3 linked regions of the Mus musculus genome follow. The protein of the gene in region 1 interacts with the protein of each later gene in a biochemical or structural test. Links are inferred from orthologs where the notes say so. Each region holds a gene or a part of one and is shown in the gene's direction. Other genes may lie near its edges.

Region 1 (3,500 bases):
CCCATCCCCTGCCCACCAACCTCACACCACACACTACACACACACACACACACACACACACACACACGTAAGCCCAGGAATATTCAAAGGATGGACTATCAAGATCAGCAGGCTCTGAAGGACCTACAGCTCAAGACTCATTTCCAGTACCTTTCTGTCTTTCTTTCAGGTGTGACCCAGGATTTTCTGGCCCAGCTTGTGAGATGGCATCTCAGACATTCCCAATGTTTATTTCGGAAAGCTTTGGCAGTGCCAGACTTTCCTCTTACCATAACTTTTACTCTATCCGTGGTGCTGAAGTCAGCTTTGGTTGTGGTGTCTTAGCCAGTGGTAAGGCTCTGGTTTTCAACAAAGATGGGAGGCGGCAGCTAATCACGTCCTTTCTGGACAGCTCGCAGTCCAGGTGAGTGCCGGTGGGCTAGAGCATACACAGCAAGCATGTGATTGGGTTTGGATCCACTTTCAGTTTGTAGTCTTTTTTCTTTTACTAGATGGATATATCTTCTAGTGTCTAAGTAGGCTGGAAGAATGCTGAGTTTGTTTATAATGAATTTTCTCTAGTTTTTAATAAACTAGAAGACTCACCAATGACTTTGAGCTACTAACAACTGACATTTTTAAAATATGAGATGCGCGCATCAAAACTGTGTTCTTAAGCCAAAACCTGGTTAATTATTCATGTAGTTTATTTATTTGACAGCTTGCAGGGGCTGATTAGATTTACTCTGTGTCAGCCCTTCCCCCAGTGCCTGATAAATAATGCAGTAAAAGAATGATTGGCGTTTTAAGTATGTATATACAAGTACACAGTATACAAGGAGTTATAAGTATACAGATGTATCTATAAAATATATACACACCTTCTACACTTATACATCTCACGGTACAATGACTTCTATTTCATAAGACAGTGATGTTAGTCTAGAGCTTCTGAGATGTTCATTTCAATGATTGTGAAATTCTTTGGAAACAAAACTTAGTCTATCAAAAAGAATATTAATGTGCTCACTAATCATGAGTTACTCGTGTCTAGGTTTCTTCAGTTTACACTGAGGCTGGGGAGCAAGTCTGTGCTGAGCACGTGCAGAGCCCCTGACCAGCCGGGGGAGGGAGTCCTGCTGCACTATTCATATGACAACGGGATAACATGGAAACTCCTGGAGCACTATTCCTACGTCAACTACCACGAGCCCAGGTACGTCAGAGCACAGCAGCAGCAGTGATTCCGTAAGACTTCCTTCCTGGAGAGAACCATAATTCCATTTTACAGTAGCATGGAGGGCCAAAGTATATAGGATTCTGTATATTCTTCTACTGTAATGAAATATTGGTAAGTCATATTATTTAATCTATTAGTCCTGCTGATTTCAATACTTCAAAAAAATATGTTCTTGTATTTTGAAATATGTATCTAAGGGAAATACTTTGATAGTTAGGAAAGAACTACAGCCTATACTGTTATTCTTAACAATAGAACATTTTGTAATAATAAGTTACATGTAAATATTATAATAATTCATTAAATAATTCATAACCAGCATGTTTTGAGTTTTCATGCAGTAAAATTAAATAGTAAATACAACTAAATTTTTCTCACATGTATTGAGTCCCTGGCAATGGCATATGTGAAGATATAAATAAAATCCTTTCCTCTGGCCACTTCTGTTTCTCTCTGCCTGTGTATTTCATGGCTATAGACACGACTGCCAGAGTAAGATTTACCTAATGGGACTATCCTTCAGTGACGACAGAATGTTACCCACCAATGTTTCAATGTTTCAAAGATACTCTTGCCTGTTATAATATACATGGGCCTTCTCAGGAAAGTCCTCTAGAAAGAACCAAGGGAGAGAAGGAAGGGCAAACTCACACTTAAGGTATCAAGTGAAGCACCATTAGAGACGAGCACTGTACCACACTTACAGTCATGTGCAAACTCCTGCTACTTCCTTCTGGGAAGTACCCTTTTCTCCTGGGATGTAGAGAGGGTTGGCCCTCAAGATTTGCCCTGGCACCATGGGAGCAGACAAGGCTTAAAAGTAAGAGAAAAGAGGACTCATGCTACATATTTTACAGTCTTGTAATGGACACTCCTACTTTAATCATTTGCAAGTAAGATAATAACTTTGTGCATAAAATGAAGTAGAGTGTATCAGAGCCAATCACTCACTATTGTGACCTAAACTTTACCCACTAAAACATGCCCCAGCTTTGGTGGATACTTCTGTTGTACATGTAAACATGTAAGACTAAATTCTCTTTATCACTCAGAGATACACAAGGCCACAGAAATGCTCCAGGGACTCTCCATAGTTAGTATGAATCAATAAATTAAACAAAAAGCAACAGGATGAAACCATGAAGAAAATATTATTATCCTAAGTGAACTTTGCCTAATGCCCAATGTCCTGACAAAGATAGACAGCTGCAAAATTCTGCAATCAATCTATATAATTAAATATAATTCATCTTTGTTATTGTGAAAGATAATGACATATATAATGTGCTACTGCAAAGGTGTGTTTAGCTGTGCCCACCATTTGATAGTAACATTCTTCTTCTAGGCAGAATTAAGGCAACTTTTCAGTTTTAGGAATGTGTTGGCTTTAAAAGATTAAGGTCAGAGTGGAGGATTTTTTTTTTTAAGAAGAATGTTAATGGCCCCCAAACCCTCATTTTCTGCACTTACACATCTGACTGTAAGACTCTTCCTCCCTCCTTCTCTCCCTCACAAATATTAATAAAAGCTGACATGGCAGAAGTAGAATTTGATATATTCCAGGTGCTAAATTATATTCTTCATAATAAATAATACAAACCATGGAAATTTTTCATAGAGTTAAATATATCTTGATGCCTTTAGCCATGTCATCTGTTTTCTTCAGTATAAGTTGCTTCCTGTAATTGCTTTCAATCCTATATTATCTCTTGATGTCCTAGTTGTTCAGAAATGAAGTATGGGCCATATGTTGGTCTTCTAGCTCGCCACCACTATCGCGAAAGGACAGTTTCAGATAGGTTGTGATTCATTCAAAAATAAAAGAACTGTCTGCTTACTTATCAAATCTGAAATCTTATAATATGCCTAATCTGAATGAATACCTTGTGAACTAGTTGGTACTTTTATTAGTGTAAAATATCATAATTCTGTTAGAGCTTAAATTTATTTCAGCCTTTTTCTTATGTTTTTATAGTTTAAAATTATTTAAAAATCAAATCTCAATCAATTTTTATGCCTTGGTTATTTATTGGGTTTGATTCCTTTGTTTCAAGTTTCCCAATTCATTCATATATATATAATTATCAAATACAAATAAAATTCCCTGAAGCCTGGGGAAGTGGCTCAGTGGATCCAAGTTCAGGATCCCAAAACCCACATAAAAGTTGGTCAATGTGGGCAGCTGCTTGCAAGGCAAAGCTTAGATCACCTGGGTCAATCCGCCTACATGAACAGAGCTCAACTCAAGGCTCAGCTAGAGACTCCGCCCCCACAAATAAAA
Region 2 (3,500 bases), on another chromosome or scaffold:
TTTATTTAAAAGACTCAAAAGGAAGGAACCATGTAGAGTGTTCTTTGGTTTGTTTCTTTTTGGAGAGTGCCTTATTTTCCATTATACCTTGCCCATATAGCTGATGTATATTCTCAGCTAGTGATATGACTTCAGCTGACATGCAATAGGTTGGTCTAGGTATAAACGCTGCCTTCCAAAATGAAATACCCAAGGCCAGCTTAAGCTTTTGAACACTGTCCCTTTAAGTGTCAGTTGTGGGTCTCATCTCGAATTAGTTTCGAGCCTTCTACTGTTTTCTTGGTCCTTTATTTCTGCTCTTACACATAGTATGGCTGCATCTTATTTTATACTGTGAAACTGTTTTGTCATATTTCAGAAACTCGTTCTCAATATAACAGCACTGTAGCTTTACAATTAGAAAGCTAAAGTTACTCATCGAAGATGAATATATTTGATTTGGTGATGAGAGGCTTGTATGTTGTCTTTTTGTTTGTATGTTTGTTTTTTTATAAGTGCTGATGTACTTTCAATGGGCATCCTCCCTCTAACAGGCAACATAACATGTAGTGCAGATGAGTTCACTTGCTCCAGTGGCCGCTGCGTCTCCAGAAACTTTGTGTGCAATGGCCAGGATGACTGTGACGATGGCAGTGATGAGCTGGACTGTGCTCCACCAACCTGCGGAGCCCACGAGTTCCAGTGCAGCACCTCTTCCTGCATTCCCCTCAGCTGGGTGTGTGATGATGACGCAGACTGTTCAGACCAATCAGACGAGTCTCTTGAGCAGTGTGGCCGTCAGCCTGTGATACATACCAAATGTCCTACCAGTGAGATCCAGTGTGGCTCTGGCGAGTGCATTCACAAAAAATGGCGGTGTGACGGAGACCCTGACTGCAAGGACGGCAGCGATGAGGTCAACTGCCGTAAGTAACTTTCCAGTTCAATTCCATGCGCCAACCGGAAGCCATTTGGCTGACTTCATTCCATCATTGTTACCTTCTTTCGTAGCTTCTCGAACCTGCCGACCTGACCAGTTTGAATGTGAAGATGGTAGCTGTATCCACGGCAGCAGGCAATGCAATGGCATCCGAGACTGTGTTGATGGCTCTGATGAAGTCAACTGCAAAAACGGTGAGGTTCTTTCTCCATTGTGTTTGGTTAGGCTATTGGCTACTCCTGTCAGAACAGCAGTGGAACTTTTCTCCTGTGTTTGAATTTATAGTCAATCAGTGCCTGGGCCCTGGAAAGTTCAAGTGCAGAAGCGGGGAATGCATAGACATGAGCAAAGTATGTGACCAGGAACAAGACTGCAGAGACTGGAGTGACGAGCCCCTGAAGGAATGCCGTAAGTGAGAGGGAGGCTTGCTCGGGGCCAGAGCTGAGAGGTTCCATTCAGCCCTAATGCTGTTTTGGACACAGCTTAGTTCTCTGTTGAACTCAGAATGAGCTAATTTTTAATAGTTAAGCTTGAAGATAAAGTATTTCAAAGTGGAATTTTAGCCCATGACAAACTAACTCAGGGTTGAGAAACCCCTTAAGATAGCTAAAAGTCATAGCAAAACTTGAGTAAATCCTTAATAACTAACTACCATCCAGCCTGAAATGTATATCTCCCAAACACATAATAAAATCTTTGAAAGGCCATCACCAATAGCCGGAGACTGAATGTGAATAAGACAACTATCAATTAAGAATAAGATGTCGCCAGGCGGTGGTGGTGCATGCCTTTAATCCCAGCACTTGGGAGGCAGAGGCAGGCGGATTTCTGAGTTCGAGGCCAGCCTGGTCTACAGAGTGAGTTCCAGGACAGCCAGGGCTATACAGAGAAACTCTGTCTCAAAAAACAAAACGAACAAACAAACAAACAAAAGCAAAACAAAAGAATAAGATGTCATACTAATTTGGACTCTGGGTTTATAAAACAGAAAACAAAATGACCACTAGGAAATTGGGAGGGAGATGTTTGTGCAGCATCTTCAGAGAGTTGGGTGGAGTGTCATGTTGGATATGATCAAAATACATTGTATCTGTATGTGGAAGTCTCAAAGAATAAATCTAAAACATTGTATTCAAAGCAAATAAATAAGCTATCAGATGACTCTGCTACCCTTTTATTCCAGATATCAACGAATGCCTGGTCAATAATGGTGGCTGTTCCCATATCTGCAAAGACCTAGTTATAGGTTATGAGTGTGATTGTGCAGCTGGGTTTGAACTGATAGATAGGAAAACCTGTGGAGGTGAGTTGAAGCAAAGAGCCTGGCCCCTGGCGGACACGGGAAAGGGCAACATACATCTAGTGAGGCATAGGAAGAACAAGACTAATTCTAATTTCCCTCCTAGATATTGATGAATGCCAAAACCCGGGGATCTGCAGTCAAATTTGTATCAACTTAAAAGGCGGTTACAAGTGTGAATGTAGTCGTGGCTATCAAATGGATCTTGCCACTGGCGTGTGCAAGGCAGTAGGTAAATAGACTTGGGCTGGTGTTGCTCTGGTACCTTTTTGAGTTAGTGATTCTAAAAGGTACAGTTGGTGACTGCAGCAGTCAACCTACACATAAAGTCACACCCCAGAGCAATGCTATTAAACTCTGAGTGCAGCAGGATAGCTGAAAATAAACCATCTTCCCACACATCTGCCTTGGTCCTTCCTTTTGCATAGGATACTGTGAATAGTCACCGTAGTTTCTTCCTTTCTGCTTCTAAAACTGAGCACAATTCAAACAAGTAACTTGTTTATCAGCCACCCTACTTTCGGATGCTGTAACCCCAAGACTGCCTTCCTAAACAGGGTGGAAATACTTGCAGGTCCTAGGGGAGGGGAGGGGTGCCTGGAAATCCAGGCTGGATACTACTGAGATGTTCAGCAGTATCTTTACAAGTGGTCCTCTGTGGAGAGGAGATGACTTAGAGGATCTTGCCTTCGAGCAAAACTAAATCAACCTGGCTTATGTCTTGCAGGCAAAGAGCCGAGTCTGATCTTCACTAATCGAAGAGACATCAGGAAGATTGGCCTAGAGAGAAAGGAATACATCCAACTTGTAGAGCAACTAAGGAACACGGTGGCTCTCGATGCGGACATTGCAGCTCAGAAGCTGTTTTGGGCTGATCTCAGCCAGAAGGCCATCTTCAGGTAACTTCCACTTGCACCCCTGATGTCTGGGAATCTACGTCACTGTCATTAGGTCTGTGGAAAGGATTGGAGTATGCATGGGTCTTCTCTTGTCTGTGACTCCTATCTACCATCTACTTAGCTAGGAGTTTTAAATTCAACACTGATTTATTTTTAGCTATTAAATGATCACCAGAAGTTACCTTGATAATCATTGATCATGATGTAAAAGGTGCCTATGCCTGAATATGACATCAGAATTTCTCCCCTTTTGTGGTTGTGAACTGAATTGTCTTGCTACAAACAGAAATGATAGCAGCAGCTTTCCCTCAGTTGACACCGTAGACCCAAGATGATGGCTACTGAGTTGAATATCTCTTTTCAAATTTTGCTGGGCTTTGAG
Region 3 (3,500 bases), on another chromosome or scaffold:
TTTTGAGCCATCTGCAGCTTTTCTGAGAGGGCATTAGCTCCATTGGTGATGGCATTGCTCTCAGTGTCTTAGTTGCCTCCTACAGGTGGTCAGGTGGAATGGGAAAACAGCATTGAACCTGAGCAGGCTGACCCACTTACAGGCCTGTAACTGTGGCCGTAGCCCTTTCCACTCCCCGTGAGGCTAAGCTTTATGAGTGGGTAGTGCCCAGGGCTCACCTTCTCCACCACCCGTTGCTTTCTTGGGTGGGTGGGGGGCTGCAAACATTTGAAGCCCTGGTTCACTAGGGGGCCATGGTATTACCAAAAGATGAAGTGTGCCATGCCTTTTCCACATGCAGACTCAGGCTGTCCCACAGAGGTATCTGGATTTGGTTGAAAGTAGTTACTAAGGTGCAGGTTCCAGGGCCTGGAGCTCAGGGGTTAAACGTGCTTTCTGCTTTCCCAGAGGGCCCGGGGTTTGGTTCCAGCACCCAGGGATCTGATTCCATTTCCCTCTCCCTACCATACCCTATACAGAAAGCAGACACACATTCACTGGAAGGAAAATATAAAACTTTTTAAAAATGCAAATTCCTTTACCTTCAGCATCCCGATTCAGTCACCATGACTTGGGGCCAGGAACTTGAGCTTTCAACAGCCCCCTCAGCTCCTGCCTCTCGGTTAGTTCCGTCTGAGAGCCAGCAGTCAGCTCCGGCTGCTTCATGCTCTGAGGCATCAAGAAGTGCTCATGGCATTCCAACATTGATGACAGACGTGCCCTTCCCAAATGCCCACCCCACTTCATCACCCCACAAGACAACCAAAGCAGCTTTTTTTGTTTTGTTTTTGTTTTTTGTTTTTTGAGACAGGGTTTCTCTGTGTAGCCCTAGCTGTCCTGGAACTCACTTTGTAGATCAGGCTGGCCTTGAACTCAGAAATCCACCTACCTCTGCCTTCCAAGTGCTGGGATTAAAGGCGTGTGCCACCACTGCCCGGCCCAAAGCAGCTTGCTTTATTTATTTATTTGTTTGTTTGTTTGTCTATCTATCTATCTATCTATCTATCTATCTATCTATCTATCTATCTATCTATTGGTCAGGGTTTTTCTGTGTAGGCCCTGGCTGTCCTGGAACTCATTCTGTAGACCAGGTTGGCCTTGAACTCAGAGATTTGCCCATTTCCACCTCCTGAGTGCTGGAATTAAATGTATGTGCCACCATCTTCCAGCAAAAGTGGCCATTTTAAAAGCTCACTGAGTATTCGAGATCTACCTGACAGTTACCTCATGCAGAGTGAACTGTGAACTGCAGCTGACTCCATGACAGGTGTTCATGGGATAGCTTCAGGATCCACTCTCCTCACACTGAAGTAGTGTGTGATCACCTGGGGACCTTGATTTAGACACCCGCCCCTCCCCCTGCCCACTGCCCCTAACCCTGTCTACTCCTCCTACCCCTGCCCACTCCCCCTGCCCACTTCCCCTCCCCGCCCCTGCCCACTCCCCCTGCCCACTCACCTCCCCCTGCCCACTTCCCCTCCTCCTCCCCACTGCCCCTCATCCTACCCACTGCCCCTCACCCTGCTCACTGCCCACTTTTCTGTGCCTTTTCTTGCATCGGCCCGCTTTTGTTCTCTTGTGGCCTTTCATTCCAGCCATGAAATCAAATGAGAGGAAACAGATCATAGATCAGAGCGAGACAGGAATCACCCTTCTTCTGGGGGTATAAAACTGTGTATCAGACAAATGTGCCAAACCCTCATGTCATTCTTGTGTGCGTGTGCATGTGTGTATGCGTGTGTGTGTGTGTGTGTGTGTGCATGTGTGTGGCATGTGTGTGTGTGTGTCTGGAACTCAAGACTTAGCATCATGTCTGGTATCCAGCAGTGCTCAATGTTATTCATTGAATGGATTTACAAGACTCGGAGTCTCATTGATTATGTGTGGATAATAGTAACACGTAGCAAGCGTAGGCTGAGTGTTCTTCTAAGCATTTTACAGATATTAATCTGGTCACTAAAACGATCCTATACAGCAGGTCATTGTGTCACCTACACTTTATTGAGACAAAGAGAAGTGGTTAGGCTAAGGTCACGTGGCCAGCGAGTGACTGAGCTCCGATTCCAGCCCAGGCAGCGGCTTCCAGAGCCCACACCCTACTTCCCACGCTGGAGGCCGAGACATAATCCTCACCCTGCAGGGTTATTATAAAGATCAAATGGAAGCGCCTAGCACTGTGCCTGGCACAATCTAACTGAGGCCGGGACTCCTGCACACTGTGGAAGGCATCAGGGAGCCAACCAGAGGTCGTAAATGCATCTGCCTCGCCTGTCATGTGGAGGAAGGGAAGCTCAGAGGAAGAGCTTCCCCAAGTCCTGAAAGGGTTCTCATTCTTTCAGATTGAGAATCAACCCAGGGGCTCTAGGCCCCTGCTTGAGTCAGCCTCTGATTGCAGCTGCAGTAATTATAGCTGCGTACTCCCGCTGGGTCCTGCACGTGGAGGCTGCTCTCTGTGGTGGGCTCAACACCATCTTTGCAGAGACTTAGATTGTTGCTGGTAAGGTTTTGGTGAGCCCTCCAAACCCACAGGTTCAGATGACAGTTGCTGATCTGGAAGGTAAACTGAGGTCCAGTTAGCCATATCTTACTTACCCAGAGGCGCACAGCTGGAACATATCAAGGGTGTGGCGACTCCACAGTGCTGGATCTTAAAGGGAAGACATGTAGGAGCCCTTGGGTCAAGAAAGACTTGTGAGCTTTAGACTAGGAGACTCTGAGAGAGTGTTAGATCCGGTCGGTGTGGGGTGAGGTCGGATTTAGGACACAGCAAGCCTTTAGAAGAGGTTGGCTTCCGATGAAGACATGGAGCAGGAGGGCCCCAGTGGACTGCCAGGGACTTAAGCCCAGTAGCAGGACTGGTTGGTGCTATGACCTGTGTCACCCTTAGCTAAGCCGTGCACGGATGTCTGTCTTTACAGCCAGTGAAGAGTGTCCTGCCGAGAAGTTAAGCTGCGGACCCACCAGCCACAAGTGTGTGCCTGCCTCATGGCGCTGCGACGGAGAGAAGGACTGTGAGGGTGGTGCTGACGAGGCCGGCTGTCCCACCTGTGAGTCCAGGGCCAGTGGTCAGGCAGCCTCGGAGTGATGACCTCTTCTTGGGAGGGTCGGCGGGAAGGGAAGAATAATGCTACCATTAGAAACAAACGGCTGGGCACGTAGGAGACATTCTCTTCTCTCACCCTCATGACCACCTCATGAATAGCCATTACCATCCCCATTTAATGGATGAGGAAACTGAGGCTCAGACAAGGGAGGAAACATGCCCAAGGCTGAGGGGGTGGAACTGAGATTCAAATTCAGGTCTACACACAGCTTTCTACCATGTCTGACATCTGCTCATCCATTCTACAATTCTACCGTTTCCACTGATCTCCGAACAAGAACAGGGGGACCAAAAACTGGGCTGTACGAAATGTGGTGTCTCGTGCCAGCACACTAGCAGCACTGGGGATAGGGCATGT

What was found. The genes of interacting proteins can lie anywhere in the genome.
Region 2: the proteins of Reln (region 1) and Vldlr form a complex in vitro, tested with the Homo sapiens proteins (6 studies listed by BioGRID). The link is inferred for Mus musculus from reciprocal best matches to the Homo sapiens genes RELN and VLDLR.
Region 3: the proteins of Reln (region 1) and Lrp8 form a complex in vitro, tested with the Homo sapiens proteins (7 studies listed by BioGRID). The link is inferred for Mus musculus from reciprocal best matches to the Homo sapiens genes RELN and LRP8.

Annotation. Positions count from the first base shown.
Region 1 is NC_000071.6:22,037,206-22,040,705, reverse strand, and holds part of Reln (reelin isoform 1 precursor), read left to right. Parts: intron 1-169; coding exon 170-403; intron 404-1,033; coding exon 1,034-1,195; intron 1,196-3,500. UniProt on the Homo sapiens protein: Extracellular matrix serine protease secreted by pioneer neurons that plays a role in layering of neurons in the cerebral cortex and cerebellum by coordinating cell positioning during neurodevelopment.
Region 2 is NC_000085.6:27,237,520-27,241,019, forward strand, and holds part of Vldlr (very low-density lipoprotein receptor isoform b precursor), read left to right. Parts: intron 1-533; coding exon 534-905; intron 906-990; coding exon 991-1,113; intron 1,114-1,204; coding exon 1,205-1,327; intron 1,328-2,102; coding exon 2,103-2,222; intron 2,223-2,325; coding exon 2,326-2,451; intron 2,452-2,946; coding exon 2,947-3,118; intron 3,119-3,500. UniProt on the Homo sapiens protein: Multifunctional cell surface receptor that binds VLDL and transports it into cells by endocytosis and therefore plays an important role in energy metabolism.
Region 3 is NC_000070.6:107,840,259-107,843,758, forward strand, and holds part of Lrp8 (low-density lipoprotein receptor-related protein 8 isoform a precursor), read left to right. Parts: intron 1-2,957; coding exon 2,958-3,086; intron 3,087-3,092; exon of another isoform or gene 3,093-3,500. UniProt on the Homo sapiens protein: Cell surface receptor for Reelin (RELN) and apolipoprotein E (apoE)-containing ligands. LRP8 participates in transmitting the extracellular Reelin signal to intracellular signaling processes, by binding to DAB1 on its cytoplasmic tail.